6 separate regions of the Mus musculus genome follow, and regions 1, 2, 4, 5 and 6 are each reported to be linked to region 3. The links are microRNA targets in miRTarBase. Many come from high-throughput screens and were not tested one by one. Region 3 holds a microRNA gene; each other region holds the end of a gene's coding sequence.
What was found. Region 3 holds the annotated microRNA mmu-miR-17-5p (CAAAGUGCUUACAGUGCAGGUAG, at 1,419-1,441, opposite strand). A microRNA usually pairs through its seed, bases 2 to 8, with sites in the 3' UTR of a target mRNA and lowers its output. Matches are read on the target gene's strand: a 7mer-m8 pairs with bases 2 to 8, a 7mer-A1 pairs with bases 2 to 7 and ends in A, and an 8mer does both.

Region 1 (5,072 bases), not on the chromosome of region 3:
CCCATAATGAGATCAGACGCCCTTTTGTGGTGCATCTAAAGACAGCTACAGTGTACTTACAATAATAAATCTTAGGGCCAGAGCGAGCAGGGTCTACTGGAGCAAAGAAGTCCTCAAGTCAATTCCCAACAACCAGATGAAAGTTCATAACTAACTGTACAGCTACAGTGTATAGTCATATACATAAAAAAAAATGGTTCAGAGACCACCCAAGTCTGACTTCAATTAAGAAAAATAAGACCAGGGCTGGTGAGATGGCTCAGTGGGTAAGAGCACCCTACTGCTCTTCCGAAGGTCCAGAGTTCAAATCCCAGCAACCACATGGTGGCTCACAACCATCCGTAACAAGATCTGACTCCCTCTTCTGGAGTGTTTGAAGACAGCTACAGTGTACTTACATATAATAAATAAATAAATCTTAAAAAAAAAGAAAGAAAAATAAGACCAGCCAGGCTTGGTGGCACACGCCTTTAATGCCAGCACTAGGGGAGGCAGAGGCAGGCGAATTTCTGAGTTCGAGGCCAGCCTGGTCTACAAAGTGAGTTCCAGGACAGCAGGGCTATACAGAGAAACCCTGTCTCGAAAAATCAAAAAAAAAAAAAAAAAAAAAAAAAAAAAACACTAAGCAAAGATGGAGATTATTGCCTGAGGTTAAGTGTGAAGATTGGCTAAAAAGGGTGCCTATTAAAGAGTGCTTTTGGTAGTGTTTTAACATATCCCGAAAGCATACTTAAAATCTAATGAGTGATTAGCTAAGTCAGGATCTTGATTTTTTTTTTCCCCTTTTTTTCTTTGAAGTATACTTCTATCAATTGAAACTGCTGTCCTTTTTTTTTTTTTTTGGAGGGGGTGGGGGGTCCGAGACAAGGTTTCTCTGTATAGCCCTGGCTGTCCTGGAACTCATTCGTAGACCAGGCTGGCCTCGAACTTAGAAATCCACCTGACTGCCTCCCAATTGCAGGGATTACAGGTGTGTGCCACCACTGCCTGGCTAAACTGCTGTCTTTTAAAATGGAAAGAATGATTTCCCCACCCCCACCCCGTGCCAAAAAAAAAAAAAATAGAGACGATATCACAGTGTAGCCCTGGCTGCTGAGTGCTAGGATTAAGCTATATACTGTTACACAGCTTCATAATCATATCAATTAAGGGTGTGGCAGTACATTTAAATAGCATCTTCCCATTCCCTCAAAAACTAGAGGGTTTTTTGTTTTTTGCTTTTTAATATAAAGGGCTGGAGAGATGGCACAGTGATTAAGAACGTTTGTTGCTTTTGCAGATTCCCAGTCAGTCCCACATGTAGTTTACGACCATCCATAACTGGTTTCAGAGGACATACATGCAGGCAAAGCCTTCATACACATATAATCTAAGGGGCGGGGCATGGAGGGCATGGAGAGATGGCTTGGTTAAGAGCAAGTCTTTTTGCAGAGAACTAGAGCTCAGTTCTGGGACTCAGATTAGATGGTTCACAGCCATGTGCCAGAGAATCCCAAACACCCTCTCTGGTCACACTCAGATATACAGTCATATACATAATTCAAAGTTAAAAAGATTTAGGAAACAATGTTGGACATATCCTCAAAGGTGTGCATTTTAGCTTATAGAATTGAATTAAAAATAGTTCAAGTAAGGCTAAAACGGGCTAGAGTTTGTATTTCAAATGCAGAACAAAGGGAATTTTGTTCTTAATGGTTAGGTAAGCTAGGATTTGTTTTACATTTTTTCTTTTCTTTTTTCTTTTTTTTTTTTTTTAAGATTTATTTATTTATTATATGTAAGTACACTGTAGCTGTCTTCAGACACTCCAGAAGAGGGCGTCAGATCTTGTTACAGATGGTTGTGAGCCACCATGTGGTTGCTGGGATTTGAGCTCTGGACCTTCGGAAGAGCAGTCGGGTGCTCTTACCCACTGAGCCATCTCACCAGCCCCATTTTTTATTTTCTTAAAAGACTTGTGTGGTATGTATGGATGTTTTGGTTGCATGTCTTTCTGTGTAACTGGTGCCCATAGAGGCCAGGGGAGGGTGTTGTGTCCCCCTGGAACAGTTGGGACAGATGGTTGTGAGTTGCCATGCAGGTGCTGGGATTTGAACCCAGGTCCTCTAGAAGAGCAGTCAGCTCTTAGCCAATGAACCATTACTACTCAACATAAGTTCAGGTCTGTAAGGTTCTATGGTGAGTTCCGTTTTAGGAGTAGCAGAATCTTGTCAAGTTGGACTGTGATAATGTAGATGGATACAGTCTGTTCTTGCGTGCTCCAGATGGGGCTGCACCCAAGGTTCCTGTCAGTTTCATTTGGAACAGTGTCTCCTAGAATCTTCCATCATTACCATGCCCCCAGAGGACCAAGCCTCTCATGAATCCTAGGTCCAATTTTGACTCAACCCTTCAGTCATACATCATATTCTCTTACTAGTTTTTCATGTCACCAAAAATAAGTTTTGAAGATGATGAACAATGTATCCACTTCTGGGTGTTTCCATCTTATGGATGAGATAAGGCTGAGAGCTCAATGAGTGGCTGGAGGCCATTCATTCTCTAACAAATGACTGGCAACAGGTTCAGTCTAGTGCCAGGCCTAGTAAGTACAAGGTTGGTCCTAGTGTATCGATAGGACTTGAGAGGGAAAATATGCAAGTCTATGCTTATTGACATACACAATTCTTAAGTGCATCTCAGGACCCCTTTCCTCAAATCCCATTACGTAGCCTTGGGACTGCAGAGGCTGGGTTTGAATGTAGATAGATAATACTTCCTCCAGAGTGTAGCGCCATACCCAGCACCCAACTTTTACAATGGCAGTAAGGATTTTTGTTTTAAAGAAATGTTCAAGCCGGGCGTGGTGGTGCACGCCTTTAATCCCAGCACTCGTGAGGCAGAGCAGGCAGATTTCTGGTCTACAAAGTGGGTTCCAGGACAGCCAGGGCTATACAGAGAAACCTTGTCTCGAACCTCCCCCACCCCACCCCACCCCCCCCAAAAAAAGAAATGTTCATTGTCCAATTTTAGGGCCTTTGTTTTTATTCCCTCTACATGTCTAATCAGTCTCAACCTATCCACATTAAGTGAGCTAGTTTTTCCACCATTACAAAATGGTGGCACACGCTTTTAATCCCGGCTCTCCGGAGATGAGGGCAGGCAGATCTCAGAGTTCAAAGCCAGTCTTCTGGGTGACTTCTAGGACAGCCAGGGCTGCAGAGAGAAACCCTGCCTTGAAAACCAAGAGGGGGTTGGAAAGAGATGTATGAGATGTATATATGGAACAACTGGTCTCTCTCGTCCCACCCCTCACCTGGGCTGCTCGGGTTCAGGTTCACTGACCAGAGGACCAGTCTCATAGCCCACTTCAACCTCAGATCCCCCCTTTTTAAGACTGCCCATGCCTGTGCTTTTCATAACGCTCTTCTTCCCATCACTTCCAGCCTCTGTGCAGCCTGCTCAGCTGTGCTCTGTGGAGCTGATTAGCATATCAACCTATACCTTCAGATGTTGCAAGCTCCTATACGTTGTGATGATTTTCACTAGTGTTTATTTGGACTTGTTGACCCAGGGTCTCTTTCTACATAGCTCTGATTGTCCTGGAACTCTCTATGTAGACCAGGCTGGGCAACTCACAGATTTGCCAGACTCTGCACCAGAGTTCAAAGGTAGCCTTGTCTACAGAGCTCAGCAATTGAAGATGTAAGCCATTACGACCAGCTTTTTTTAAAAACTGGTTTTCTCAATCCCCCCCCCCCTTCCTTAGTATGCTTCCTAGCCCTCTTAGAATGCCACTTCTAAGAACACAGGGAGGTTACAGGTTTTGTTCTCTGTGCCACAGTACTGTACAGCAGGCATACCATTGTGGATATATACCATCTCCTTGACAATCCTAGCTAACGTTTAGTATAGAAAGGGTTTGTCTTTCTTGAGACAAGCTCTCATGTAGCCTTGGCCGTCCTGGAGCCCAGGGATCTGCCTGCTTCTGCCTCCTGAATGTCGGGAATAAAAATCATGGACTGCCACACATGGCTATAAAATGCCTCTGTATTTTCAAACCCATTTTGAAAATGTAAAATAACCAAATGTGGTAAATGAGTGATTGTCCTATGGAAAATAGTGTGAATAAATTCAAAAAGTCCAAAGTAGTTTAAGTCATGATATTCTTTTATTAGTGCTAGCTCCTTTTAATTTTTATGAGCTAAACAATTTAATATAAAAATGTCATTTCCTGTTCATACAGTATATAAAAAAGTATAGTGGTCTGGTTAGTTTTCAATAGTTTGCTTTTAGCCAGATGTCATATAAGTCTATGACTGTAACAAGTGAGAACAGTATAAATAAGTTCTGTAGTATTTACACTTAAACAGAAACTCTCCCAAATGGTGCCTAAGAAATTAACTTGAGAGTTAAAATGAAACTGATTCAACATTGAGACTTTAATGCTTTGTAAAGTTTCATATTATTGCTATACTAGCTTTGGCTATAATTCTGCATAGTTACTTATAAAGTGTTTCTGCATTTCACATCACAGTAGGAAGTTTTAGCAGTACAAAACAAACACTAGCTCAGAAAAGGCTCCATCCTCCCGAACCTAGTTTTTCTTTGTATCTGGCTTCTTGCTTTTGGGAACAAGGAACACATTGCCATCTCTGGTTTGCTGCAGAGAGTATTCACTGGGAGAGTAAGGCTTTCCATCCTCATCACGTAACATGCTGAAGACTTCAAGATACAAGGTGCTGAGCCGCCTTTTCAGTAGATGGAGGTTTCTGTCGTTTTCTCCCTTTTCTCTGAGTAGTTTTTCTCTCTCGTCTTTTAAGTGGCCCAAGTCTTGCTCCAGCTCGACAATGTTCTCCAGCTTCCTTTTCCTACAGTTCTGGGCGGCGACTTTATTCTTACCTCTCCTGCGTATATCTCGGATCAATGCGAGCTGAGCTTCATTGAATTGCTCCTTGGACATCATTTCATTGAAGTCATCAACAGGGAGGTTAATGATTTTTTCGACAGGGAATGGAATATGGAGAGCTTTTGCCCTAAGCTCATCTCGTGTGAGATGAGCCTCTAAGCGGCTTGAATGTTTGTCTTTTGTG
Region 2 (5,072 bases), not on the chromosome of region 3:
CCCACCCACTCCTGCTTCCTGGCCCTGGCATCCCCCCACACTGGGTAATACAGCCTTCATAGGACAAAGGGCCTCTCCTCCCACTGTTGTCCCACTAGGCCATCCTCTGCTGCATATGCAGCTGGATCCATGAGTCCCACCATGTGTGCTCTTTGGTTGGTGGTTTAGTCCCAGGGAGCTCTGGGGGTAATGGCTAGGTCATATTGTTGTTCCTCCTATGGGGTTGTAAACCCCTTCAGCTCCTTGGGTACTTTCTCTAGCTCCTTCATTGGGAACCCTATGCTCAGTTCAATGGATGGCTGTGAGCATCCACTTCTGTATTTGTCAGACACTGGCAGAGCCTCTCAGGAGACAGCTATATCCAGGCTCCTGTCAGCAAGCACTTGTTGGCATCAACAACAGTGTCTGGATTTGGTGATTGTAAATGGGATGGCTCCCCAGGTGAGTCTTATTTAGTTAAAAACAATTACAGTGATGGTTTCTAACTCTGTTTTTGCCTAAAGGCTATGAAAGTTCAACAAAGACTCCAGAAAACAAAAAGGGAAACAAAGACAGTTGAGGTTAAAATGACACCCTCCTGTGTGTATGTGTATGTGTGTGCGTGCACGCACGTGTGCATGTGTGCATGTGCATATGTGTATGTGTGTATGTTCCTGTGTGTATGTGCATGTATGCGTATGTATGTGCACGTGTGTGCATGTGTGAATGGGTGTGTATATGTGTGTGTATGTGCATATGTATGTATGTGTGTGCTCACACGCATGTGTGTGTTTTGCTGGGGATTAGACACAGAACCTTGCTCATTCCAAGTGCGTGTTTCACCACGGAACTCTACCCCCTCTTCCCCAGCCCTTAGTATGCTTTACTTTAAAAATAAATATGTCACGAATAGGCAAGTGACAGAAAAAGTCACAATCAAGTAACCACGAAATGAGGGGACAGTTCCAAAGAGTAAATGGTCCATTTTAAAAGTACAGTGCAAAAGCCTCCAAGACATGAAAGGTAGAATTAGACAGAAAACAATAGGGTTTCGATGGCCAGGCAAGTCAAATGCACACTGCTTTTGCCTGTGGCAAGTGGCCAGCATATCATGTTCCTGCTAAGGGAAGCCACAGAGAGTTTCACTGAGTTGAAAGAGGAAACCACAATGTGTGGAATCTATTTTTATTTCTGAATTACACAGTAAGGGTATAGCAATACATTGTGTTCTTAACATATTTTCATATTTTTAAACCATACTATCCAGATAGAATTTATTTCTTTACCAAAACTCGTCTAATATATACTTTATTCTGAGCAATCCGATACACGTAGAAAACTCTTTAGATATAGAAAAGGTTAAGTTTGTGCACACCTAGATATTCCTAAAGTAGCAGACCACTGGGGCATAGTGATAAGACAAGGGTTGTGCAGAACCATGAAGGGACTCTCAAAGTTACATCCTAAGGATGTGTGCTAGGGAGGGTGGCCTCTTTGCTCATCAGTATGCCCTAGGGAGGAACCTTATATAACACTGTATGGCTTCAATAGGAACTTTGGGGTCTTCCTCCACCCCCAGTTGTTCTCACTCTTCAACAACTACCTTCTGTGAAGGTTTTTGTTTCAGCCTTAGTCAAAATCCAGCTAAGTACTAGCTGGAACTCAGAGTGAACACCACTCCTGCCTCAATGACCCCTCGGTGTTCCCTTAACTACAAATCTACAGGAAAAAGTGCAAAGCAGGTCCTGGCAGTCCAGACCAAAGCAAGAATGCCCAGGGTGCAGGCGCTACAGCTGAGCGACGTGAGAGTTACATCTACCTGTTTATGGGCTATTTTCCCAGAATTCCCTAGAAGCCTATTCATTTGATGAGCATGATAGCTTTTCTCTAGCACATGCAATTAAAGTAACTTGTTTTTTGAAGATAGTAAGATAACATGTGCTTAAATATTGTAATGGTATTACAGCCCATAGGATTTTCCAAATATCATTGACGTGAAACTGCTCACATTAAATTTACTTTGCCATGCCACACGAGTGAGTCATTTTCCATACACAGACTCAGAGAAAGTGTGAATGGTGTGCCTGTTTGCCTGTTGCCATGTCTGGTTGGTTATGAAAAGAGTCCCATGTCTACAGATCTGCTGAGCCAAACTCTGCAGTTCTCACAACAACATAAGTTTAACATGGCTAGGGGAAATGTGAAATTCATCTTCCAGAATGGAATATAAAGGAGTTAATATGTTAAGCAGGTGAGCGAATCAGGATATTGGGTAACTATATTCCTATCACCATGATGTTTGAGGTGGGCTTCCAAAGGGCAGGGCAGGCTGTGGGAGCCTAGATGATTCTGAGGTTTTTCTATCGAATTAGCAAAAAAAAAAAAAAAAAAAAAAAAAAAAAAAAAAAAAGAGAGAGAGAGAGAAGGGAGATTGAAAAAAAGACAAAGGTAAAAAAAACTAAGTTGAACAGGATCAACAGGTGAAAGTAAATAATGGAGCTTTATGAAGGGAAGGGAACCGACCGGCTCACGTATATTGTGTGAGCTTGTACGGAAGACAGATTGGAAACAGACATGAAGCAGATAAAGTCAGAAGACCTCTGGCACCTGGGCTAAGAAGCCTCCCTGTTGAGGAGACTTCTTCAGGGCTCAGAGTGTCTGCAGCTCTCCTACAAAGCCACCAGGCAGGGCCTGTCTTGCCAGCTGCTTGGTAACGGATGACTTTGAAGAGTGAGTGAGTCTAAAGAGTTTTCGGACATTTTCAGTTTGAGTCTAGCAATCCCATGCTTTAAGAGAGCCACACTTTTGTGAGAAAGACCCATCGCTTTTCTCAGTAGGCCACAGGTGATGTTTCACTGTCTGTAAATGTCGAAATTTTCTTTACAAGTCCAGATATGATGGTGCAAGCCTATAATAATACCTGCACTTGGGAGGCTAAGGCAGGCGGATTGCCACAACTTTGAGGCTGACTTGGTCTACATAGTGAGTTCTAGGCCAATTTGGGCTACATGGTGAGATCCTGCCTTGAAAGAAAATAAAAATGTTTTTGACAAAACCAAATGAGATTACAACCACCTCTGTGTACTCAGTTGGGGAAAGCATTTAAATAAATACTCAGAGCAGGGAGACCAGGGAGGGAATGGATATTTGGTCTCGTAGGGGTCAGCACACTTTGTTTTTTCTCCTGTAAAGATAGTGTTCTGGCTTTGTGAAGAACTGTCTGTTGTCACTGTTCAGTTCTGGTGGAGAATGAGTAAAAGAAGCTTCAGACAGTTAAGTGGTAATTTTTGTTTTCAACTGTAAGTGTGGAAGCCACCTTCTCTTGCTTTGGAGCCTTAGCCTCCTCGGTACAGCTTGCCAACCTCTGCTGGAGATCCACAGACTGGAAATTGCCGTAACAATTTAGGGGCATATAAAAAACAAGAAATGAGCTATTTCATAAAGGCTAGTATATACTTGTATTTAATTTTAAACTTCCTCAAGCAGATTGCTTTTGCAATGCATCTGAGTGTTAATTTTGGACGATTCGATGTTACCCAGTGATTTCTCAGTGGGCCACCTTGGAGTTGGACGAAGTGTAAAGGTTGGAGCCTGTTCTGTGGCCTGAAGCATAGCTCGTCTTAAGTTTCACAAGATGCAGTTCTTCAAAGCTCACTAGAAGATGATGTTGTAAAAGAGCAATTTACATGCAGAAATATAAAGTAAAGCTTGCATGGGTTAGAAAGCCCGGGTCCTTTTGAAAAACTGAAAGATGTGGACAGGAAGGGGGCAGATGCCTTAGCTGATGAGGATTTTATATCTGTCTGTCTGTCCTATTCAAGTTCAGCATTTCATAGAGTTCCAGAAAGCCATGTTCCTGGGACAAGGCAAGCCCTGTGCATCCTGAATCTAGAAGGAAGCTCTGTAGGGATTCAGTCAGTCTACAGAAACATATCCACATCTGTCTAACAGCAGAACTAGGCTATGCTTTTGGTAAAAACCAGTCTAAGGAACCAAGTCCCACTGCACCGAAGATTAGCATAATAGTAAAAATGGAAGGTCCATAAAACTAAACGGAAGGTTTAGTTGCTAAGGTTCAACTAAAATCATTGAGGCACGTAATTGGCAAAATAGGAAAAGACACAACATTTCATAGGATATGTTAACAGTAAACAAATTCTCTTTTCCTTGAAAGTTTCCAATGGCACCAGGTGGTGCAAAGTGGAGATGTCACCATCCCTGTTGCTTCCAGGTAGGTACGTCCCAGCAAAATCACCAAGCAGAAAGGGAGTCCTCCTCCAGCAGGCCAGCTACGGCTTCTCCTTCAGCTTCATGTCAATGCTGGGTTGAGGGGATTGGGGTGGGGAGAGAAAACACACCAATGAGGAAGAGTCAATTCAGGTGTCACTTGTTTGTATCTTTCTTCAAATAATTTGAAGAAATTGCCTAAGCTTTTTAAGCTGGAAAACAATCAGACAGTTGTTAAGGTTTTCTAGAAAATATTGACTATGGAGGCTGAAGGGATGGCCCCACGGTTAAGATCACTGGCTGCTCTTCCAGAGGACCTGGCTTTGATTCCCAGAACCCACATGGAAATCTACAACTGTCTATTTATTTATTTTTGAAAATGTATTTATTTATTTATTTTATGTATATGAGTAAACCGTAGCTCTCTTCAGACACACCAGAAGAGGGCATCGGATGCCCATTACAGATGGTTGTGAGCCACCATGTGGTTGCTGGGAGTTGAACTCAGGACCTCTGGAAGAGCAGTCAGTGCTCTTAACCACTGAGCCATTTCTCCAGCCCTTGACAACGACTTATCACTTGGGAAATTTGATACTGTCTGCTAGCCTCTGTAGGCATCAGGCATGCACACAGTGCACAGACATACATGCAAGCAAAAGACCCACATGCATATCAACAAATAGGGAAATAGATATATATTTTAAAAATAAACATATTGGTGCTGTTTCGTTTTTACAAAATTGCTTCTGAAAGCATTTTATACCTTTTCAAAAGGACCCAGGGATGAACAGCTCATGTTAAGTCTCAAAGTGAAATCAGATAAAGAATGTTACTGTGTCTTCCTATCTTGAGTGACCATTTTTCTT
Region 3 (5,072 bases):
ATATACTGTTATCCTAAATACTAACTGCAGCTTCTCCAGACCCAGCACTCGAGTGTCATGTGTACCTGTCACTCTACTGACCATCAGTTTGCCATCTTTCCCTTGAGGGGGTCACATGGTAAGAACAGTCCAAGGATAGTTCTTTCTTACAGGGTGTGCACATTAACAGAGTGGCCACCACCTGTTAACTGTTAAGAACTCACGGATTAGGAATAATCTTATCAGAAAACACTCCATCTGAATTGTCACACTTTAATAAACAGAGATCCAAAGAAAGTAACATTTTTCTTAACTCATGTTAATGGGTTTTAGAGTAAAATAAACCTGAAGTCATACCAGGTTCAAAAGGCAGTTTAACTTCACCTAAGCCCCCACACACAACTTCTTACTAAATCCAGCGAGCAAACACGAAAATGAAATGATTCAGTAAAAACAAACCACAATTTAAAAACACAAATTTCAATTAAAAAAATCCCGTTTTACACACCAACGAAAGCAATAGAAATCACAGTTTACAGAATGTGTTCATACACTCCATCAGCTCGTGAACATTTTTACAGTGGAAATCGGCATCTTCAGCAATATTGTCATTTTCACATCTTCTGGTCACAATCCCCACCAAACTCAACAGGCCGGGACAAGTGCAATACCATACAGAGAAACACAGCATTGCGACAAATCCCAACCTGTGTAGAAAGGGGTTTGATTTTCCCTTACTTCTCTACAGACTTTTCACCACCACAGTCAGTTTTGCATGGATTTGCACAGCAGAATATTATACAGCTGGATGCAAACCTGCAAAACTAACCATAGACCAGTGCTCAATAACAGGACAGTTGGCTGGGCGATGGCCAGGCGAGGCTGGAGTTCTACAGCTGGCAGTACTTTAAGTGCTCGTAATGCAGTAGATGGCTACACACTACCTGCACTATAAGCACTTTAGTGCTACAGAAGCTGTCACATCACACACACCACGCAGGCTCTACATCGACACAATAAAAATACAAAATTAGTTTAAAAAAAAACAACACTTGAAGTAAATAGCAGGCCACCATCAGTTTTGCATAGATTTGCACAACTACATTCTTCTTGTAGTGCAACTATGCAAAACTAACAGAGGGCTGCAAACACAACTATGGAGAGACCCCTACATGCTTGCTTGACTTGGATTGGATGAGGACATAACTTCTTATGCCAGAAGGAGCACTTAGGGCAGTAGATGCTAGTCTACTTCACTATCTGCACTAGATGCACCTTAGAACAAAAAGCACGCAGCACCAGCAGGCCCTCCCCGCGACCGACTGACCGACGACTGGACGCAGCCAGTGCCGCCCGAGGCAGCGCCCACTGTGGCTCCCACCGAGGCAGCTGTCAGCATAATGCTACAAGTGCCCTCACTGCAGTAGATGCACACATCACTACCTGCACTGTAAGCACTTTGACATTATTCTGACTGGTCACAGCTTCAGTCCCAAGGTGAGGTTCACTTTATTCCTGCTAAATTTGAAATAAATAATTAGACAAAAAGGAAAAAGCCAAAGCTCTAAATTCTGTCACAAACATCAATTACAGCTTATACCCAAGGGGGGGAGGGGAGGAGCCAATAGCCAGAAGTTCCAAATTGGACACATGTAAGCCTTAAAAAAAAAAAAAAAACTCCTTAAAGAAATATAAGATACAATCCCATTAAAATGTTGGCTTTTACAGTAGGCTTCCCCAAAAAACACACAATAAGGGTCCTACAAAATGAGACCTGTTATCAGGAAGGCAGTCTGACTTGGTACTACCTTTAGAGGAAAGCCTCACATTGACCAGGCAGCAATCCCTTTCTTCTGTCCTCCACATTGTCAGATACTCGACAAGATTAATGATTATTGTTTAGTCATTTTCAAGTTTATTAGTCATAAAACATAAAAAAGTCTTAGTATCACCCCAAATTAGAAATACTCTATGACTCCAACTTGAAGGGTCTACAACTATTTGGTTAGTGTCCAAAAGCCACTGTAGATTTACTACGTTAAAATGTGGCTCACTCATTTATGACAAGAGTTCAAACTGTATTTATTTCATACCTTAAAAGACCAAGAATGTTGTACAAGCTCAAAGACAAAAGTGAAAACCAAAGGTCTCAAAAGAAGTTTTAGCTACAAAACTAGAATATACTCACCCACTCAGGCAAACTTCCTTCTCAGCAAGTATCCTTGGGCAATGCTTCGGGTGCTGCTAGGTCCACGTGTATGACTAGGGTTGGGGGTGGGGTGAAGACAGAGAAAGGGTAAGCACATTTGCTCAAAATTACTACCACTTTCCGAGCCCCATTCCAAGTTGCTCTTCTCTTAATCTTCCTAAGGGGCAATTCTATCCATTTGCCAAAAAAAAAAAAAAAAAAAAAAAAAAAGAGAGAGCCAGGACCACAAGGTCCTGAGGGCAACAATGTATTGGGTGGAAAACGCTGTAACAAAATAAAGTTGAAAACCCACCAAGATTCACATCCGTGCACGAATTAATGTGCCCCTGAAATACTGCAAGATGAGTAGCAGCAAGCCTGAACTCTACTGTCCAGCTCAAGCTAGAGAAAAAGGGCAACCAGGACTAGTCTTCACCACCCCTCCCCCAATCAGGACCTCGTGGCTGCACGCCGGGATAAAGAGTTGTTTCCCCAACTGCTGTGATCCTCGTGGCACGTTGCTCATTTTCTTCCCTCTGGTCACCTAAGAACCACGAGCCCTGCTGCGCTCTCCAGTTTTCTCCCCTCCGCGCCAGCTTATCAAGAGAAAACCGGACGGGAACACGGGATCCTGCCAAGTACCCGCCACGCTCATGGAGCCCGGGCCGGCAGCACATGTCGCACAAGGGGGCAGGCGGCCCTTGTGGGTTCCCCGCGCGGCCGCCAGGGGGCGGCAGGTCAGAGCCGGGCCGCGCTGCGCCGGACGCGGAGACTCCCCCCCCCCCCCAACCCCCGCCCGTTTCTGGGCGGCTGCGCGGCGAGCGGCGGCGCGGAGGCCCGAGCGTGGCGAGGCTCCGGACACGCCGGCCGTCCTTTGTGTCCCGCGCGCCCCCCGGCCAGGCTCCGGGGGAGGGAGGGGGGCGGACAGGGCGCTCGCCGCACGCGGCCCGAGGCCTAAGCCGGGAACAATCGGCGGCGGCGCGCAGTCGCCGCCATGTCCCCCCCCCCCCCGCCCTCGGCGCGCGCAGCCCGCCCCGCAGGAACATGGCGGCGGGGCCGCCGCTCCTGCCGAACCCGCCCGGCCCTCCCGCGCCGCGCTCGCAGCCAGCGCCCGTCCGGGGCTCCGCGCCGCCCCGAGGGCGGGCCGGGGCGTCCCGGGCCGCCCGGGCGGACCGCAGGGGTCGCCTCGCCCGCGAGGGGAGCTGCCCACGCGGCCGCACACAAAGCCCACGCGGAGCGCGGGGTGGCGCCCCGGCCCCGTCGCCCCGCAGCTCCCGCGTCCCGGAGCCCGGCCCGGCGCGCACAAAGTTTCGGGGACGCCGAGTGCCGCCCGCCCACGCCGCCCGCGCGCAGGTTCCTCGTGGGCGCGCCCCCTCCCGGCCCGCGGCCTGCCCCATGTGCCGCCGCCGCTTTGTTCTGGAGGCGCTTTAACTCTCGCCCCCGGGAGAAACTTTCCCCGCACGGCGGCCGCGCGCCCCGCCCGGCTCCCGCCGCTCCCGGGACGGCCGCCGGCCTCGTGCGAAGCCTCCCGAGGGCCATTGTGTGCGCCGGGCGGGCCTCTCCGGGGCCCGGGCCGCCGCCCCCTCGGGCCCCCTCCGGCCCGCGTGCGCGCCAGGACGGCCGCCCCACGCCGGCGCCCAACGGCCCGAGACCCACCCGGCCCGCGGCCCCCGCCCTCCCGCCCGTCCCGCCGCCGCCGCCGCTCCGCTTAGCGCACAACAGGTTTCCCTGAGCCGGCGGCGGGGCGGGCGCACTCACCGCAGCAGCCGCCACCATCTTCGCCAGCCTCCGCGCCACTCCGGCCCGAGGCCCCAGGCCGGGGGTGCGGCGTGGCCCGCCCGGCCCGGTCCGAGCTCGGGGCTCCGTGGAGAGGCACGGGCGGCGTGGGGGACCGTCCCCACCCCTCGGCCTCGCCGCAGGGCGCGAAGTGGCGCGAAGGCGCGGGCCGGGGCGGCGGCGGCGGCACCTCGAAGGACCATGTGGGTGAATGAAGGGCGGCGGCTCCCGCCTCAACGTAAATACGGACAAGCCCCACTCCCTCATTAGCATAAAAAACAAAGTACTTCCGACCTCCCCGCCCGCCCGCCAATCACCGCAGGCCCCGCCCACGGCGGCTCGTTCTTGGCGGCCAGGCGAGCGGGAGCCGGGGGAGCCGCTGGTGGCGCCGCGCCGCCTTCCCCGGGCCGCGCGTCCCCCGGGGTCCGCCCACTGCCGCCCGCTGCCCTCGGCGCAGGGCTCCGGGCCGGGACACCTCGCGCCACGCCCCCGGCACGCCCTCCCGAGCCAGCCCCGCGCGTGCGGACCCCGCGCCGCGCACCCTCCTGCGAGCGCACGCGGCTCAGGCTTCCCGCCAGCCGCGCTGGCCGGGGACTCGACGGAGGCGCCCGGTGACCACAGCTCGCCCACTCTCCCGTAGCCGCCGATCGGGAGGCCCACGCGAGTGGGAGACGAGTCACATCCACTCGCCCACCGTCGCCCCCCCCGATCTCCGTAGATCACGGATCCTTTGGGGGTCCAGCTCCTCCCGGGAAAGTCTCCTTAAACCTGGCCGCGTGCGACGGGGCGCGTGCTGGGCTCGGAGCTTCGCGACCAGTACCTGAGCCGCCTCCCTCGCCTAGTGCAGCACCGAGAAGTCTGGGCTCTCTGGTAGAGAGAGAGCACAGGGCTCGGAAAGTGCCTTGTAAACAACCCCAGAGCTGAGATAAGCCCACTCCCTGCTACATGCTGTGGTTCAGGAAATTCCAGAATTCTCAGAAACCTTATTAAAAGAATTGAGAATTCATAACATCTACTACAAGCAGCAATTTCAAACTGGTTTCGAGCAATCCAGTTCGTAGTCTTTGCAAAGCACATGCCACTTCTGTCCTGTGCTTTTTACAAGGAAACTGTAAAAACCGAATTCACC
Region 4 (5,065 bases), not on the chromosome of region 3:
ACTACAGCTCAGACAGCACCCCCTGCCCCTCCCCCACACACAGACACACACATAAAGAAAGAGTGGGGAGGAGAAAGAGAGAAAGAAGAGAAGACTTGAAAGTATGTGCTGTGGAGGCTCCAGGTCACAGTGGCCCACCAGAAATAACCAAACCCAAGTCCTGCTTCCCTAGAAGACCAAGCGGCAGCTCTGTGACCCTACCCACAGCCACTGTCTAGTGCAGGCAAGTGCACCCTCCCTCACCAGGCTGGAGAGGCAGCAGGGCCCCAGCAGCAGCCGTAGGCTCCCAGAAGTCCCTGTGCAGTCCACGGCAGCCTCTTGAACACCATGTGTGGAATGACTTGTGGCATGTGTTACAGTACAGCACTCAGGGCTGCGGAAGACAGTCACAGCTGAGGAACACACAGTGGTTCTACTCTCAAGTGTTAAGTCGTGTTAGTGGGAAGAAGGCAGAAACCCCAGTTACTTTGTTACATGTCCCCATGTGTCACCTGAAGCTGTCCTGTAGACAGAGTGAGGGTGGGTGTTCCTGGTGAAAGCTGGCAGCACAGACTCCTGGGGTGGCACCGGCTGACCTGCCCTCATGCCTGCTCTCTCCTTCTCTGTGCTCCAGGGCTGCCATCAGCAGAGACCCTTTCTACGAGATGCTTGCAGCACGGAAAAAGAAGGTCTCCTCCACAAAGAGACACTGAGGGGGCACCAGGGCATGGCCAGCCCATGAGGCTGTGGCCCTTTCTCCTGCCTCCCCTGAGGGCGCTGTGGAGCCAAGCAGAGGAGAGCAGAGGGCTTCTCTGCCAGTTCCTGCCGTTCCGCTCCTAGAGACTTGCTTCAGCTTTTGCAGTTTTCTAAGTGGGAGAAGGGTGGGCGGCGAGGGATAGGCTGGAGACTGCGGCTGCCCTCATGGCTCTGGAGTCGCTCTCAGAGCCAGCAGCTGCCAGCAGCTGGTTCACAGCCTCAGCTCAGCAGGGCTGAGGCACCACAGGGAGCTCGCTCTTTACCTCTCAGTGTTCCTGGCCAAGGGCCTTCGCCTCTGCTCCGAGAATGCCTGTAAGGATGTACTCTGTGTACTAAGGAGAGAGGGGGAAAGGAAGAGAAGCCACGCACTATAAAGATTTATTTTTGTTTTTTTTAAAGCAAAAGTGAACGTAGCACTGTACTCTGCCCTCCTGTGCCCTGCTTCCCCTAAAAAGGGGGGCCCTGGGGCTGCGGGCACCCCAGGGGCTGCGGGCACTCCAGGGGCCGCTGCCTCATGACTGTGTGGGCAAGACGGGCAGAAGCAGGACTGCTGGCAGGGCCTAGCAGACACAGGAGGCCTCAGGGCCCCAGCAGGGCAGCAGGCAGGCAGTATGGGCAGCTCCCACCCAGTGCCTGGGGGACAGAGTGAAGGTGGTTAATCCCTTGCTGGCCCTCAGTGCCCAGGCCCACTGCTCTTTAAAGTGGAAAGTCTGCATTTTCCTAATAACCAAAACTGTGAGGAGCTCACCCATGGTGCTGGGTGGCGACTGTTTCATAGCTGGTTTTTCTTTCTCCTCCCCAAGAGCTCCACTCCTCGTTCTAGAGGAAGGAGCAGGTCTTACCTGATCCCCTTGGGGCTTCAGCCTTTTCTGCCTCAAAAGCCGCCCCTATTCTGGACTATTCTGGTGCACTCTGTGGTAGCCTCCAGGAGCAGGGGCCTTTCTCAGCAGGTTGCAGTGCAGTCAGGCAAGGGTAAGGTGGCCTTTTTGTCCCCTGCCCTCTATGGCATGGCATACCACAGCACACATGTGAGTGAACCCTGGCCTCCTAACTCAGTGAGAAGGGAGCCATGAAACGCAGCATCTCCTGCCGTTCTCTCAGGGACTCTCAAGGGCAGCTCCTGTTCCTTGGCCAGGGCTAGCATGCCAGTCTAGGCAGAGCAGGTGGCAGGCGGTGTCTTGGCACACTCCTCCACGTGGCCAAGGCCTTGGTGGCAGAATGCTGCCTCCAGGCAGGTGGAGGAGCCATGGGTCCCCGCTGGGCTGTGTGAGCTCAGCCTCTCTGATCTCAGAAGGAGGTCAACATCTCTGGAAATAGCTTTGCAGAGAAGGGTGGGTGTAGGGGGCGGCACTCGCCCCTCCTGGGGATACAGCAGGATCCGGCCTCAAGAGGCTTCAGGTGCTTGACACTCGAGTGTGAAGGTGACAGTGACTGCTAAGGGTCCAGGCTGGAAACCTGAGCCTCCTGCCGCAGAACCAGTCAATGCCTGCCCAGGTTGTGTGGGGAGTCAGGCAAGTGCAGAGCCCTCCCTTCACACCGGTTCTCACAGGTGTGTCCTGGGCAGGCCAGCACCTGGCTCAGTGTCAGTCTATTTATCAGAGGTGTAAATAATCCACACATAGTTTTTCTCCTTTTAGATTATTTTGTATTTGTTTAAAAAATATTTGTCAAAATACAAAGAAATGACTGAAACTTGTTGACAGGGTTTTTAAAAATATTATTATTATTATTATTGTTTTGTTTTTGCCTTGTAAACTAGCTCCAAGGAACTGCAGCAAATAAACTCCAAATCTGCCCACATCACTTCATGTTCTGCTCTGCTGTGGGGTCATCTCTTGTCAAGCCTGGGACTGGGGGCTGGAGCATCCCGTGGCATGGGTGTGCCCCAAACTCAGTGGGGCTGTGATTAAAACCAGGGGTTGGGTAGGGGCTATTTTCTGCCACGGATGGCATAACAAGGAAAGAGGGGCTTAACCCTTACCTCTCTTTCTGAGGAAGAAACTCAGCCTCAAGGAGCAAAAATTGTCCACGCGAGCAGCCTCCTGCAGTGTGGCACTACATATCCTTGTGAGGCAACTGAGCAGGACCAGGAAACGGAAGGTTGCTGGGCACACAGTTAATGGAGCAGAAGTTGGCCTCTGTGCTTTTCTTGCTTCCTTCTTTTTTCATTGACTGATTTTTGGAGACAGTATCTCACGTCTCTCAAGCTGGCCTTAAGCTCCTTGTGCAGCTGAAGATGGCCCTGAACATTTGGTCTGCCTCTGCCTCCCTCGAGTGCTGGGATTACAGGTATGTACCATGCCCAGTTTATGCAGTGTGCTAGGGCTTGCCCCCAAGGTTTCCTGCATGCGAGATAAGCACTCTACCAGCTGAGCTTCACCCAGGCCTGAGAATCAGCTGTTCTTAGTACATCATTGATGAACAACATAGAACAGGAGGTCAAGGAGACAACTTAGGGGCTGGGGGGTGGGTGGTTCAGTGGTTACAATCACTGGGTACTCTGAAAGTTTCAAAGGACCCGGTTTAGGTTGCCAATATCCACATGGTGGCTTACAACCACCAGTAACCCCAGTTCCAGATGTCCCAACAGCTTCTTCTGGCCTTTAGGGTCACTGTACAGACACGTGCACAGGCACACATGTAGACTAAATAACACACACACACACAAATAAAACTTTAAAAAAAGAAAACAATTCTATTTATTGCCAGAAAGAATAGAGTACTTACGTGTTTTCAAAGTGCAAGAGATACATATACTTATAAAACATTGAAAAGCACCATAGAAGACCTAAACAAAAATCTCATGTTTGGAGAGCAAAATTTAATAGTGAGATGATCCAGCGAGGAGTAGTGGTGTATACCTTTAATCCCAGTGCTAGGGAGGCAGAGGCAGGCTGATGTCTCTGAGTTCCAGGACAGCCAGGGCTACACAGGGAGACCTTGTCAAGGAAGGAGGAAGGATGTCCACAACTTGAACTTAGGAAGTTTGCTCCCTACCACATGGCAGTTAATGTTTAGAAGTATGAGATGCTGCTGTGAATTCAGCTCTTATCCCTCTAAGACTCAGGCTGAAACAGGGTCACCTGCTGCTGGTTGTAGAGGCAGGCTCAGTGAACAGTGTTTAATGTCCCAACGTTGGGTGAGAAGTAGGCTTTGCCCTGCCTGCCTTTTCTCTAGTGTTTCCTAACCTGGCTCTGAGGTTTGCTTATAAAGCATTCCTGGGGAGCTCATGGAGGTACTGGGGCTTGGAAGGCTATTTTGAAAGGTTCTAGAGTCTTTGAGAGGTGAGTCCTTGAGGAAGTAGGCCACAGAGGACCTAGTTCCTGAGACTGTCTTGTCCTCTCTCTGCCTCCTGTGTGCCATGAGGTGAGCGGCCTCCTCCACATGGTCCTGCTGCCGTGATGCTCCGCCTCACCGTATCAGGATCATCAGATCCAGGAACCGCGGATGAAACCTCTGAGGCTCTGAGCCAATGAGCAGCACTGAGGCTCTGAGCCAGTGAGCAGCATCCCTTTAGGTCCCAGGCATTCAGCTCACATCCGGGGAGAGCTCACAGAGACAGACCACTGAGCTGTGACTTCCATCAGAGCTGACAGCGTGAAGATCAAAGGTGGTGTGCACTCAGCGTCAGAACCCGTGTCCTGCCAGACAGGATGCAGGCATGGGCAGGATCAGCCCCAGCAGAGACACTGTTCTTGTCTCCTTTAATCCAGGCCTCTGCATCTTGTTCCTTGACATTTCACGACATTTACTTACCTCCCCGTGGCTTAAATTTTTGTGCATATTTGATCAAACCGAATCCGCCGATGTGTTCCACTTGGCTCTTGCTGTTTACATGGCTGTATCTCGTTCATAAGCATGAAGTCAGGATGACATACAGAACCCCTGAGCCCTGGGTTCTTGCCTTCTGCTGCTCACATTTAACCCTCTCTGCTCCGTTAGGTGGACTCAAGCCCTGTTCTGAGCCTTGGTCCTTGGCCTGAGCCGAGTCACAGCATCTTGTGCTGCAGTTGGTCAAACATGCTCTGTCCCAGAGCTCTTACCTTCTTAGAGTGGTTGCATTAGGGTTGCTCTTGCCACTCCTAACCCACTTCTTCATTCACTCATGCATTCATTCAACAAACACTGCCTGGGGCCTACTATGTCCATGAACTGAATCTGAAAGCTTGTTTACTGCTGTTCCACCTGAGGCTCCCCTGTAGCAGAAATAGAGCAACCTCAGGATAGCACTGCCACTGGGCTGGGGGCAGGGCGGGGACCACAAGACTGTAGAGTTTAGGGCAGCTGTGACAGGCAAGTATGCTCCCCTCTTCCTGAGTATTTATTACAT
Region 5 (5,072 bases), not on the chromosome of region 3:
CCAATGGAGCCTTCCAACACCTGCCTCAGCTGAGGGAGCTGGACCTGTCCCATAATGCCATTGAGGCCATTGGGCCAGCAGCCTTCTCAGGTCTGGCTGGGGGCCTGCGGCTGCTGGACTTATCCCACAATCGCATCCGAAGAATTCCAAAGGACGCCCTGGGCAAGTTGAGTGCCAAGATCCGCCTGTCCCACAATCCACTGCACTGTGAGTGTGCCCTGCAGGAGGCCCTGTGGGAACTAAAGCTGGACCCGGACTCCGTGGATGAAATTGCCTGCCACACCTCAGCGCAGGAGCAGTTTGTGGGCAAGCCGCTGATCCAGGTCCTGGACTCAGGTGCCAGCTTCTGCAGTACCCACCGGAAGACCACCGATGTCGCCATGCTGGTCACCATGTTCGGCTGGTTTACCATGGTGATTGCCTACGTAGTGTACTACGTACGCCACAACCAGGAGGATGCCAGACGACACCTGGAGTACCTGAAGTCCCTGCCTAGTGCTCCAGTCTCCAAGGAGCCTCTTAGCCCTGTGCCCTAGCACCCACCTCCGGTGGGCCACTGAGCCTGGCTACCCTGTCTTTCTGCAGCAGGTGGAGGTGATGGTGCTCTTGTGTCCCCAGGGAGGTGCATTGCAGCTGTTCAGCCCAAAAAAGCACTTTCATAGTTGGTATTTGGTCCCTGCAGCCACTGCCTAACACTGTAGCGGGGGGAGGGGGGTTTGCCCATCTTAATGGGTAGGTAAATGGAGGTCGAGAGAAACGGAACTCCTTGCCAAGGCTGGCTTCAGCTGCCACTTAAACCCAGGCTGTTTGTGGTATAGGTCTGTGAGCCGTCTGATCTGCCAACCTCCCTTTCCCACACCATGCTGTGGGAAGTAAATACTTGTGCACGCAAGGATGGGGGCCCTGGCAGGGAGGATGGCGCCAGCAGTTTTGCCACCGGGGAATGGCTCATTTCTGTTTACCCCTGCTCTCCCAGTACATCTGAACACAGAGATGTTTGCCCTTTCCCAGAGCAAAGTACCGGCAATCTAGACCTTTCCAGAGAGGTCAGTGCAAAGTCCAGCCTGCACTGGTCTGCTCTGACCTTTGTCCTGGGAGTTCTTTAGTTGCCCTTGTGCCAAAATGTCAGTCCATCGAGAGGGAGAAAATGGAGAAACGTGAGAAAGGTCCAGCATGGGCTCACCATGGCCGTGTCAGCTGCTAGACCACTTATGGGCTGCCTCAGCTTCTGCCACTTCTATCCATTCCTGGGCAGTGGAAACCTGTCAACCTCGGTGGCTCTTGTGCCTTGCTTTCTACTGCCAATATCTAAAGCAGCTGTTTTTTCAGAAAGAGGAGGGACTGAAGTTTGAGGTTGCCATGCCAGTCAACAGGAACTGCTTTTCTCTAGCAACAAGAACCTTCTCTTCACCTCGCTGAAATCCCAGAGCTCACTGATCAACTTTCTTACCTGTAATTACTTCATCTTCAGGGGTAGATGTTCTAGCCACCTAACTAGACTTGACTTCCAGTTTTGTTATTTACTGTCCTTTTGTATAAGTGTTTATACCCTAAGCTATGTCGTCATCGAGTATCTGGGAGAAGTAAATGAGCATAGTGTGTGTGTCTGTGTGTGTGTGTGTGTGTGTGTGTGTGTGTGTGTGTGCTGAGTATAGGGTCTAGATGCCGCTCTGAGCAGAAATTGAATGTGGCTTCTGTGTGTGCTGGGAATTTTCTTGTGATCTGCAGGGGCAAGGTGAGACTATGTTGGGGGCCTGGCCTGACTTGGTCCTTACCGTCAGTGTGACCCACAGTTCTGTCACCATGTGACACACTTGCCTGAGGCTACATGGCTGTCAGCTGCAAAAGTATATGGAAGAGAAAAACACTCATGAATTCCAGACTTTCCCCACTGCTGAATGCCCACACCTACATGGTGACCGTGGGGCCACCATGCCTGGCATCTGCAGGGTGAACAGAGCCCTGGATGAGCTCCCAAGCTGTCCACTATTCTTCCACAGCCCTGGGCCAAGCTACACTGTCTTCAGGGTCAGACCCTGGCGGAGCTAGTAGGACCATTCCCATTCCCATGAGAATTGGAACCTCGAAGCAGCCTCCTTAGGGACACCAGTCAACGTTGTGATGCTGCCTGGCCCCCATTGGCACAGACATGCTCAATACCCAGTACCCAGTTAAGTGTTCAGAGGAGGCAGGTGCTGAGGGCTGTATGATTTGGACCCTGGAGGGTGCTGTGCCAAGGAAAAGAGGTTAAAAAGCCAGAGCTGAGCCAGGCAGTGGTGGCGCACGCCTTTAATCCCAGCACTTGAGAGGCAGAGGCAGGCAGATTTCTGAGTTCAAGGCCAGCCTGGTCTACAGAGTGAGTTCCAGAACAGCCAGGGCTACACAGAGAAACCCTGTCTCGAAAAAACCAAACCAAACCAAACAAACAAACAAAAAAAAGCCAGAGCTGAGGGCTTGGATTAAGGACCAGGTACCACCCTGGTGCTGTGGCAGTGCTGAAGTAGCTATCTATGTATGTCCCATGGACAGGGACACCTCTAGCCTGACACATACTCTGGGAGGTGCCAGTGCAGAGGGTATGGCTTGCATTCCTATTACCATGTGGTGGGGACGGTAGCTGCTTCCAGGCAGGGGCACAAGTTGGGAGGTAGCTGGCCCCTGCGGCCTTTCTACCATCCTACTCAGTAGAGGGACCCTGTTTCTGGAGCTTGCCACTATCCAGCATGTCTGTCCCATCGACAAAACCAGGTCAAAAAAGAACATGGGTGGAGGCCTGGTGGTGAAGTCTGTAGCTGCTCTTGTCCCAGAAACACCCTATTGGGTCTTTTAGATACACCGGTGTAGGTAGGGCTCCGTCCCAGGCTGCTCAACCCACTGCCAGGCTTGCTGCTCTTAACCTAGGGCTTAGCCCTACCTGGTTGCACATCTATACAGCTCCTGCTCAGCCCTTGCTGGAAAGAGGAGATGGGAGACTCAGGAGAGTATGGACCCTGGAGAGAGCATGCCCTGTCCTCCTATAAGGAGGACCTCAGAGACCTCAGCACTCTCCTGCTCATCCAAGCTTCCAACCCTGCTGCCTCAGAGTCTTATCTCCCTGTCGTCCCATTCCATGTCATTCATTCATGTATATAGATACCCTTCCCTTCCTTCCCATGACCAACTCACAGGCTAAGTGTATGAGGCTGGAGCCTCTGCTGGAGACTTGCAGATGTGGATGGTTGCATTGAAACTGTCTTTCTCCCTGGATCCCACCTGCTTCCACCAGCTTCACCTTCCTTCTCTCCTTGAATGAGATATTCTCCTCCCCCAACTCTGCACAGACCCTCTAGATCTCCAGGACTCTGGGTCAGTCCTCCCCTACTCTGCGCATCTCCACCCCCACCCCACCCCGACTTGAGTGTTCCTCAGGCACAGTGGGCGGGGTTTTTTTTTGTTGTTTTTATTTTTGCCACATGGCTCAGTGTCCTGCCCCATCCTCACCCCCATCAGTATAAACCTATCATCCCAGGTCCCACCCACTGGCTCCTTTGGGCACTTTCCCTCCCACTAGTTACATGTGATTGCCTAAGACACGGTTTAAATTGAAATCCTTGGGTGGGGTTAGAGGTTGAGGGGTGGTAAGTCACAGACTGAGATGGAATGTTCTGAGCCTGTGGCAGCTCTCAGGACTAGGACTAGGCTCCTAGGATGGCTTCTATGTTGCCTTTCTTGGAAGCTCAGCCCCGAACCTGATTCTGTCCTCTCCCAGCCTCTCTGTGAGCCCTCAATAAAACTTTTTGTGCAGGAAAGCTGATTGGGATTCTGTCATCTTCAATTCTAGCCGACACCCATCCCTCACGACCGTGTCAACATCTGTCTGCAGGTCCTCACAGCTGGGAGGGCATCTTCAACTAGCTAGACAACTGATTGTCATAGTTAGATCATAATGGCCGTCATTAAGTTTTCAGGAATTCTGGGAGCCAGCTTGTACCATGGTGCCTTGAATCTGACCACGTAGAGGCTCGACGCCAAGGAAATTGGTAAACATCACATGTCAGAATCCCACCCTCATAATCCTTGGAAGCAGTTATTATTTGACAGCACTCTGTGTGAGAACAGTTCAGCGTGGCCTCCAGGCTGAGCCAGCAGCACCCGGATAGCCACAGTGCGGGTGGCTCCCACAAAGCCATGATCCTTAGGCCACACTGTCATGCCAAAGATAACTTTTCTGAATCTTCAGGATTTGATTTCTCAAGGGCCATGGCCCTTGGGATTCACCATCTATGGATGCTTATTGTCTCCTGACAGCTTTGTATCCCTGCTCTGAGGTCACGGCTGCCCGCCTGTCTGCCTCACCAACTTTTCCAACTGCTGTTTCCAGATGCCCTATCTGGAGACTTTGTGTCCCCACAGATGGTCTGGTACCCACCTACCAGCCTGGGTTATCCCTTCCTACTTTCTATCCTGCCTTGTTCTCTGGGTTCTGGGCTGGACAATGGATGCAATCTCTTTCCCTCTGTAGAATGCTTTTCTGCCATGGAGCACTCTCACACCCAAGTCAGTTTTCAGTTAATGTGGCTGGAAGACCCAAAGAGTGTTCACATCACCCGTCAGCCTGTCTCCCTTCCCTGCAAACTGGCTTGTCCCTTCTAGGAAACCTTCAGTGTAGCCAGAGTGGAGTCCAGGAGCTTCCACAATCTGCAAGTGCACACACACACACACACACGTATACACACATACATAAATACATGCATATGCATTTCCACTACATGTAAGCCAGACAGACACAGAGATATTGTTACACTCATGTGAGTGTACACAGGCTCACATGCAGATTTAGAGGCATGCACTACATTTCTGCACACATGCACCTGTCATTGCATCCATCCCTCACTCCTGGCCCACTGTGTCTGTGGTCTTTGGAGGGAGTGTTAATCTGCACCTCGCCCCTCCCCCCAGGCCTCTAGAGGCAGTTGCCTGCTTAAGGGTCTCTTCTGTAGCAGCATCTATTTGACTTTTCCAGAATCCAGAGGTGGCGGCTGCTTTCCTGGGATTCTGAGGAATTTTGTAGCTCTCTGGACTTGCAATGGACC
Region 6 (5,072 bases), not on the chromosome of region 3:
AGTATTCAGCTGTGAAGGTGAACGGACACACTGGCGACTTTTATGGCTTCCACAGAGAGTGCAGTGGGGACCTCTGGGCTGCTTTAGCGAGGTAGTTCCGGGTTGGAAGGTCAGCATTGCTTCCCAAGACTGTAGGTTAGCTAGTGAGCTGTTATTGCATAACAATGCCACTGTTTCTAATGGCTTATGACCCTTTATTCCTGAAAAAGAAAAAAAAAAAATGGAGAGAGCGAGAACTCCTGGGAATTTTCTACCTTGGTTTTAAGTAGAGAAAAACCTTAAACCTGGTGACTCTTTGCTCAGGGTTAGAAGTTTAAGAATCCCAGCTGATTTTTTTTTAGTTGATAAAATGGTTAGCTCTAACATACTCTCTCTTCTCATGGCATGCTACACATGCGGAACAGCATCAAAATCTCTAGCATGTGGACCATCAAAGTAACAAAAGTGGTATTTTTCATACAGTAGCTTAAACAAAGGGGGCGCCTTTGACTTAAACAGAGGGGTTCTTTTAATGGAAGTTTTAGTTTTTCTCTCTTTAAATACAAAAAGCTCACCTACTCTAGTGTGTTTTCCTAACCAAACCTCCAAGAGGGACTAGATCCATATAGATGTGTGCATTCATGAGTATGTGCACATGTGTACACACACACACACACACACACACACACACGCCTCCGCAGTGGAGTTCTTTCTCTGCTTCATAGTCTCAAAATTTAAATCTTCTAGGGAAATAAAAATGAAACTAAACACACATCCACATCCACTCAACAATCATAAAACTGAAAAAGATTTTCAAGAAGTTAAAAATTCCAAACTTCAAAGATTTTTGCCTCTGGTTAGACGGGGTGAGGTTGTGGGGTGGGCTGTATGGGGTGGGGGCTAGCTCAGAAGGATACTGTCAACAGATGAGGTTCTCAGACTGGACAACTCTGGAAAGGCCCGTGGTGAGGCCTAAGGCTGAGGGTTACTAAGACAGTACCTGGCAATGATTTACAAAGGTTTCTTTAAACTTTATTAAAGTTTTATGTGGAGACTTCTCCATTTGCTAAAAATAAGAATCAAGTCAAAATAATATACAAATAAAATAAAATGAAGCCACGTGCCTTTAAATCTTCTTTTCCTTCAGTTTTAAAACCTAACCCAGTCTGAGCCTGACTCAGTTTGAGAGCAGCAGCCTAATGAATTAGCCTAATGAATTAGGCTAAAAAAGTTTGTATCCAAATGATAAATCCATGAGAAGAAAGCAAGTGATGCATGACTCAACCCAAAACAACGTAATACCAACACAGAAACATCGCTGTGGAAGCCAGGCGGGGGGAGCAGGTACAACGAGCCCAGCATTTGGGAAGCTGAGGTGAGGGAGTCATGGGTTTGAGGTAACCATGACCGTATCCACTGGGGAGTTCAGCTTAGCGTAGGTATTTAGTGAGAGACCCTTTCTCAAAAAAAGCAAAACAAGAACCCCAACAACAACAAAACTCTTGGGGGAGGGGCCGGTTGTGGTTCCCTCCTGTAGACCCAGCACTCAGGCTGTGAATTCAAGGCTAGCCTGGTCTACTTGTAACTAAGTAATCCTTGCCACAACAAAGCCTTTGAAGATAGAATGGTGTAAAGAGAAAGCCTTGACTTAAAATCTGTTATTCTGAAATGTAACGTGTTACGAGACAACAGTAAAGATACAAGCCTAGAACTCCAACTCTTCCACGGGTCTTTTTCCATGGACAGGTAACAAGAATGTAACAGGTACTGTAGAACTCCTGGGGCGCTGCAGCACATGTGGGCCAGCACAGCACACACTGCAGCTCTTCCCCAAGTACACTGTCAACCCTGAGTCTGAGTCTTCAGCACGTGACAGCTGAGGTACCTGCATGTTTAAGGCGTGACCCTGTGGTTTCTGACTCCGAAGCATTTCTGTATAGATCTCATTATACATATGCCCATTAGTCGTACACTTTTGAGAGCCATTTTTTAGAGCAGGCTTCTCAAGTCAGGGAAGATAAACTTCTCTAGAAAAAAAAAATATATTGCCATTTCTACACTGTTTCACATTTGAGTAAGAATGACAGAGTGTGGTAGGCCTAAGTCACTATTTTAAATTCTTTTTTCTGCTTCTGTTAAGGATAGTGATGCTTACTGACTCGCTATTGGGTTTCCTATGTAGAGGACAGTTTCTTATGGCTATAGTCATTTGAATAAAGTCAGAACTGACAACCTGAATTTTTCAATGAATATTCATAGTATAACCATCAAATGGTTGTAATTCAACAGCCTCAAGACTAGAATTCAGAATGTCTGCCTCATATTGTAAAAGCATTTAGTATAAAATAAGGTATAACCAATTATTAACTTAGCTACAAATTATACCTTTTTTGATAAAAATACTTGAATATTATAGGTTTAGCCGTGAGATATGGATCTGTCTACATGGAAGGTGGATTTGCAGACTTCCCATAAGCTGCAGAGGAGACTGTGGAGGTAAATGGGGTAGGGGTGACTTCTAAGTCACGACATTCAGAAAAGGAACCTGCTTCCTTGTTTGCCTCGGGTTTGTGAGGGCTGCAAGAATGCATGCAAATATTACAAATACCATTCATTAAAATTCATAGCTAGAAGCTGGAGGGAAAGTGTGTCCTGAGAGACTTTCCTGACTCCACACACAATGTTTCCTATGTTTACAGAAGACAAGGGCAAAACTGGAGAAAAATCTAGAAATAGTAAACCAAAAAAACTAATTTAGAGTATGATACTTTAAAAGCAGGAACCTAACCTCAGTCCAGAGTCCGTGTGTCCCCACTGCAGAGTTAAGTAGCCAGGAAAAAGTGCACAACGCATAACTGCACATTTAATATCAAAGATAAATAAATAACAGCTAAGGGTCTGATTTAAGAGCCTGAGGATAGAGAGACGAGGAGGAGAGAGGTGGGAGGCAGAGGCCATTCTTGGAACTCAGCCTCTGAGAAGAGCAGCACAGAATGCGTAGGAGCTGTGCCGTGCACACCTGTCAGCTGACTGAAACCACCATGTTAGCCCTTCTCTCTGGCCTTCCGTATATCCACTCCAGGGTGACCACGCTCTGTTTAAGTTCCCCAAATGTTGACCGAGTAAGCTGCCGCTCGAGAGACAAGGGCACTGTTCCTTCCTCACCTAAGATGCTGCGGTCTCCCTCCTCTGGAGAGGGCAGGCAACAGTATTGGGGGTTTCCTCTCACTACATTTTTAATGGCAGATACCAGTCAGTGTGGACATCCACGTTTTAGAGACTGCAGGCATCTTAAAACTTAAAAGTCAACTTGCCTTCCCATCCACATTTCTTGGTCACTACCAGCAATTACGTTTGTGATTTCAGTTCACCCTATTAGCTTCTTCTAACACTCTTGGAAAACACAGGAGCCTCAAAGTAAGAGATTCCAATCCATCTTCCCCTAACAGCTGCGCACAACACAGTTTCTAAGAAAGTGAGAAACAGACGTGATCCAAGGAAACGACCTCCGTCACTTTCTCCCGAGGGCATTCACAAATGTCATTCACATTTGCAAGCCCCGCTAACTCTGAGTGACCCCATTCCCTCACACCACCCCACTGAATCCATAGAGTACTCAAAGGGACACCAACACTGGCTGTGTCAGTGAGCCCAATGGACTGAATGCCCAGCAGAGACATCCAATTCATTGACTAACTTTGTACTGAACCTTGCTTTTGTACCTGGTCTGGTGACCCGCTCAGATACATCCAGTCACAGAAGCACCTTTGAGTTGTATGGATGTAAGAATAGTTGAGATAGAAGTTATTATATGCATCTTTGAGAATCACATTTTGATGATTATAAAAATTTATCTATTTTACAACATGGGTTTAGCTACACTGAAAAAATTACACAGCTTATTGAAATACATCTCATTTTAGAAACAGACTACTAAAGTCTATACAAAAACTCTAAAATAATTTCTGTAGTAAAATAAAGAGTGTGTTAAAAGAGCTACACAAAGAAGAAAATTCCCATCTTCTCTATAATGCTTGATATTGTGTGAAACGCAGCCAGCTCGACTCTGCAGCCAGCACCAAAAGCTGAACCGAATTCATTGCAGTACACAGTGATATAGTTAATGCTCTGGACTAACCTCACAGCCTTCCCGATCAGTATAAAGGAAACAGGCCCACCCCTCTCTGAGGAGAAGACCGAGATATAAAAGCAAGCATACCTCATCCGCTGATATGAAATTATAAAATCCCACAGTCACAGTATCTGAAATTTATAAAAGTCATCAGAAAATGCAAGCAAATTGGGCTTTAGTTCGGTGGTTCCCCTGGTTTCAAGGGCAGTCGTCGTCTTCACTCCGTCAGGCCAGTCTGAGGGCTCACCAGGACAACGGTGAAGGCCCTGAAGGAGGCCGTGGAGTCAGGCAGACCCCAGAGAAGTACGGCTGCGTCCCTTCTGCCAGCTCACCGTGGGGACGGCACTGGCTAGGGCTAATGGTGCTGGGCGGGGGCCGCACTGTTCTTCTCTGCCAGGTGTCTCAGAAAGGTGTCCTCGCTCTGGCTTCTGTGGTTTAGGGGTTCACTCTTGAAGAGGGCTGGGGGTGGGGGCAGGTGAGGCACAGGAGGGATGGGGAGGTGGTGCGCGTGGTGTGGATGCGTGTGTATGTGCAGGTGTGAGAAAGGGTGCGGGACGGGTCTCGAGGGAAGCACAGCACCCACGGGGCTCATACTGACTGCAGGGGCTGGGCTGGTGGGAGTGTTGGCCACGGCCGGAGCGGGAGCAGCTGGAGCTGAGGCCAGTGGGATCTGGACAGCTGGCGGCACATTCACTGGGCTGGTCACTCGGAAGCACTTCTCCTTGTGGGCCTTCAGCATGTTGGAAAAGCGGAACCGCTGACCGCACACATCGCAGGGGTAGGGCTTCTCGCCTGTGTGAGTTCTGCGGTGCCTCTTCATGTTGGGTCGGCTGGTGAAGCTTTTGCCGCAGATTTCACAGATGAAAGGCTTCTCTCCTGAGATTAGCACAGACAGACAGGGTCGGTGCCCCGGTGTAAAGACAGGCACCTGCCACTCATGCTCATGCTCTCCCTTCAGCAT

Region 1: the mRNA of Nfe2l2 is a reported target of mmu-miR-17-5p. Seed matches in the 3' UTR shown: 7mer-A1 at 4,489-4,495.
Region 2: miRTarBase lists Prune2 as a target of mmu-miR-17-5p. Seed matches in the 3' UTR shown: 7mer-m8 at 1,708-1,714.
Region 4: the mRNA of Cyth1 is a reported target of mmu-miR-17-5p. The part of its 3' UTR that is shown has no 7-base or 8-base seed match.
Region 5: the mRNA of Lrrc3 is a reported target of mmu-miR-17-5p. Seed matches in the 3' UTR shown: 7mer-m8 at 651-657 and 7mer-m8 at 3,532-3,538.
Region 6: the mRNA of Zfp652 is a reported target of mmu-miR-17-5p. The part of its 3' UTR that is shown has no 7-base or 8-base seed match.

The regions. Positions count from the first base shown.
Region 1 is chr2:75,671,385-75,676,456 of GRCm38, forward strand. Nfe2l2 (nuclear factor, erythroid derived 2, like 2) reads right to left here. Exons shown (of 5, transcript NM_010902.4): 5 at 4,129-5,072. The coding sequence ends at 4,577. Among named protein-coding and RNA genes, the nearest start is that of Hnrnpa3, 15 kb to the left of the region's middle.
Region 2 is chr19:17,220,011-17,225,082 of GRCm38, reverse strand. Prune2 (prune homolog 2) reads right to left here. Exons shown (of 20, transcript NM_181348.4): 20 at 1,151-4,299. The coding sequence ends at 4,269. Among named protein-coding and RNA genes, the nearest start is that of Gcnt1, 130 kb to the left of the region's middle.
Region 3 is chr14:115,040,053-115,045,124 of GRCm38, reverse strand. It overlaps Mir17 (microRNA 17), which reads right to left and starts at 1,454; the gene lies at 1,371-1,454. Mir18 (microRNA 18) reads right to left here and starts at 1,274; the gene lies at 1,179-1,274. It overlaps Mir19a (microRNA 19a), which reads right to left and starts at 1,125; the gene lies at 1,044-1,125. It overlaps Mir20a (microRNA 20a), which reads right to left and starts at 968; the gene lies at 862-968. It also overlaps Mir19b-1, Mir17hg and Mir92-1.
Region 4 is chr11:118,161,643-118,166,707 of GRCm38, reverse strand. Cyth1 (cytohesin 1) reads left to right here. Exons shown (of 14, transcript NM_011180.4): 14 at 614-2,538. The coding sequence ends at 692. Among named protein-coding and RNA genes, the nearest start is that of Gm38514, 26 kb to the right of the region's middle.
Region 5 is chr10:77,896,291-77,901,362 of GRCm38, reverse strand. Lrrc3 (leucine rich repeat containing 3) reads left to right here. Exons shown (of 2, transcript NM_145152.4): 2 at 1-3,788. The coding sequence ends at 536. Among named protein-coding and RNA genes, the nearest start is that of Lrrc3, 3.7 kb to the left of the region's middle.
Region 6 is chr11:95,763,454-95,768,525 of GRCm38, reverse strand. Zfp652 (zinc finger protein 652) reads right to left here. Exons shown (of 5, transcript NM_201609.2): 5 at 3,811-4,987. The coding sequence ends at 4,467. Among named protein-coding and RNA genes, the nearest start is that of Gm38957, 11 kb to the left of the region's middle.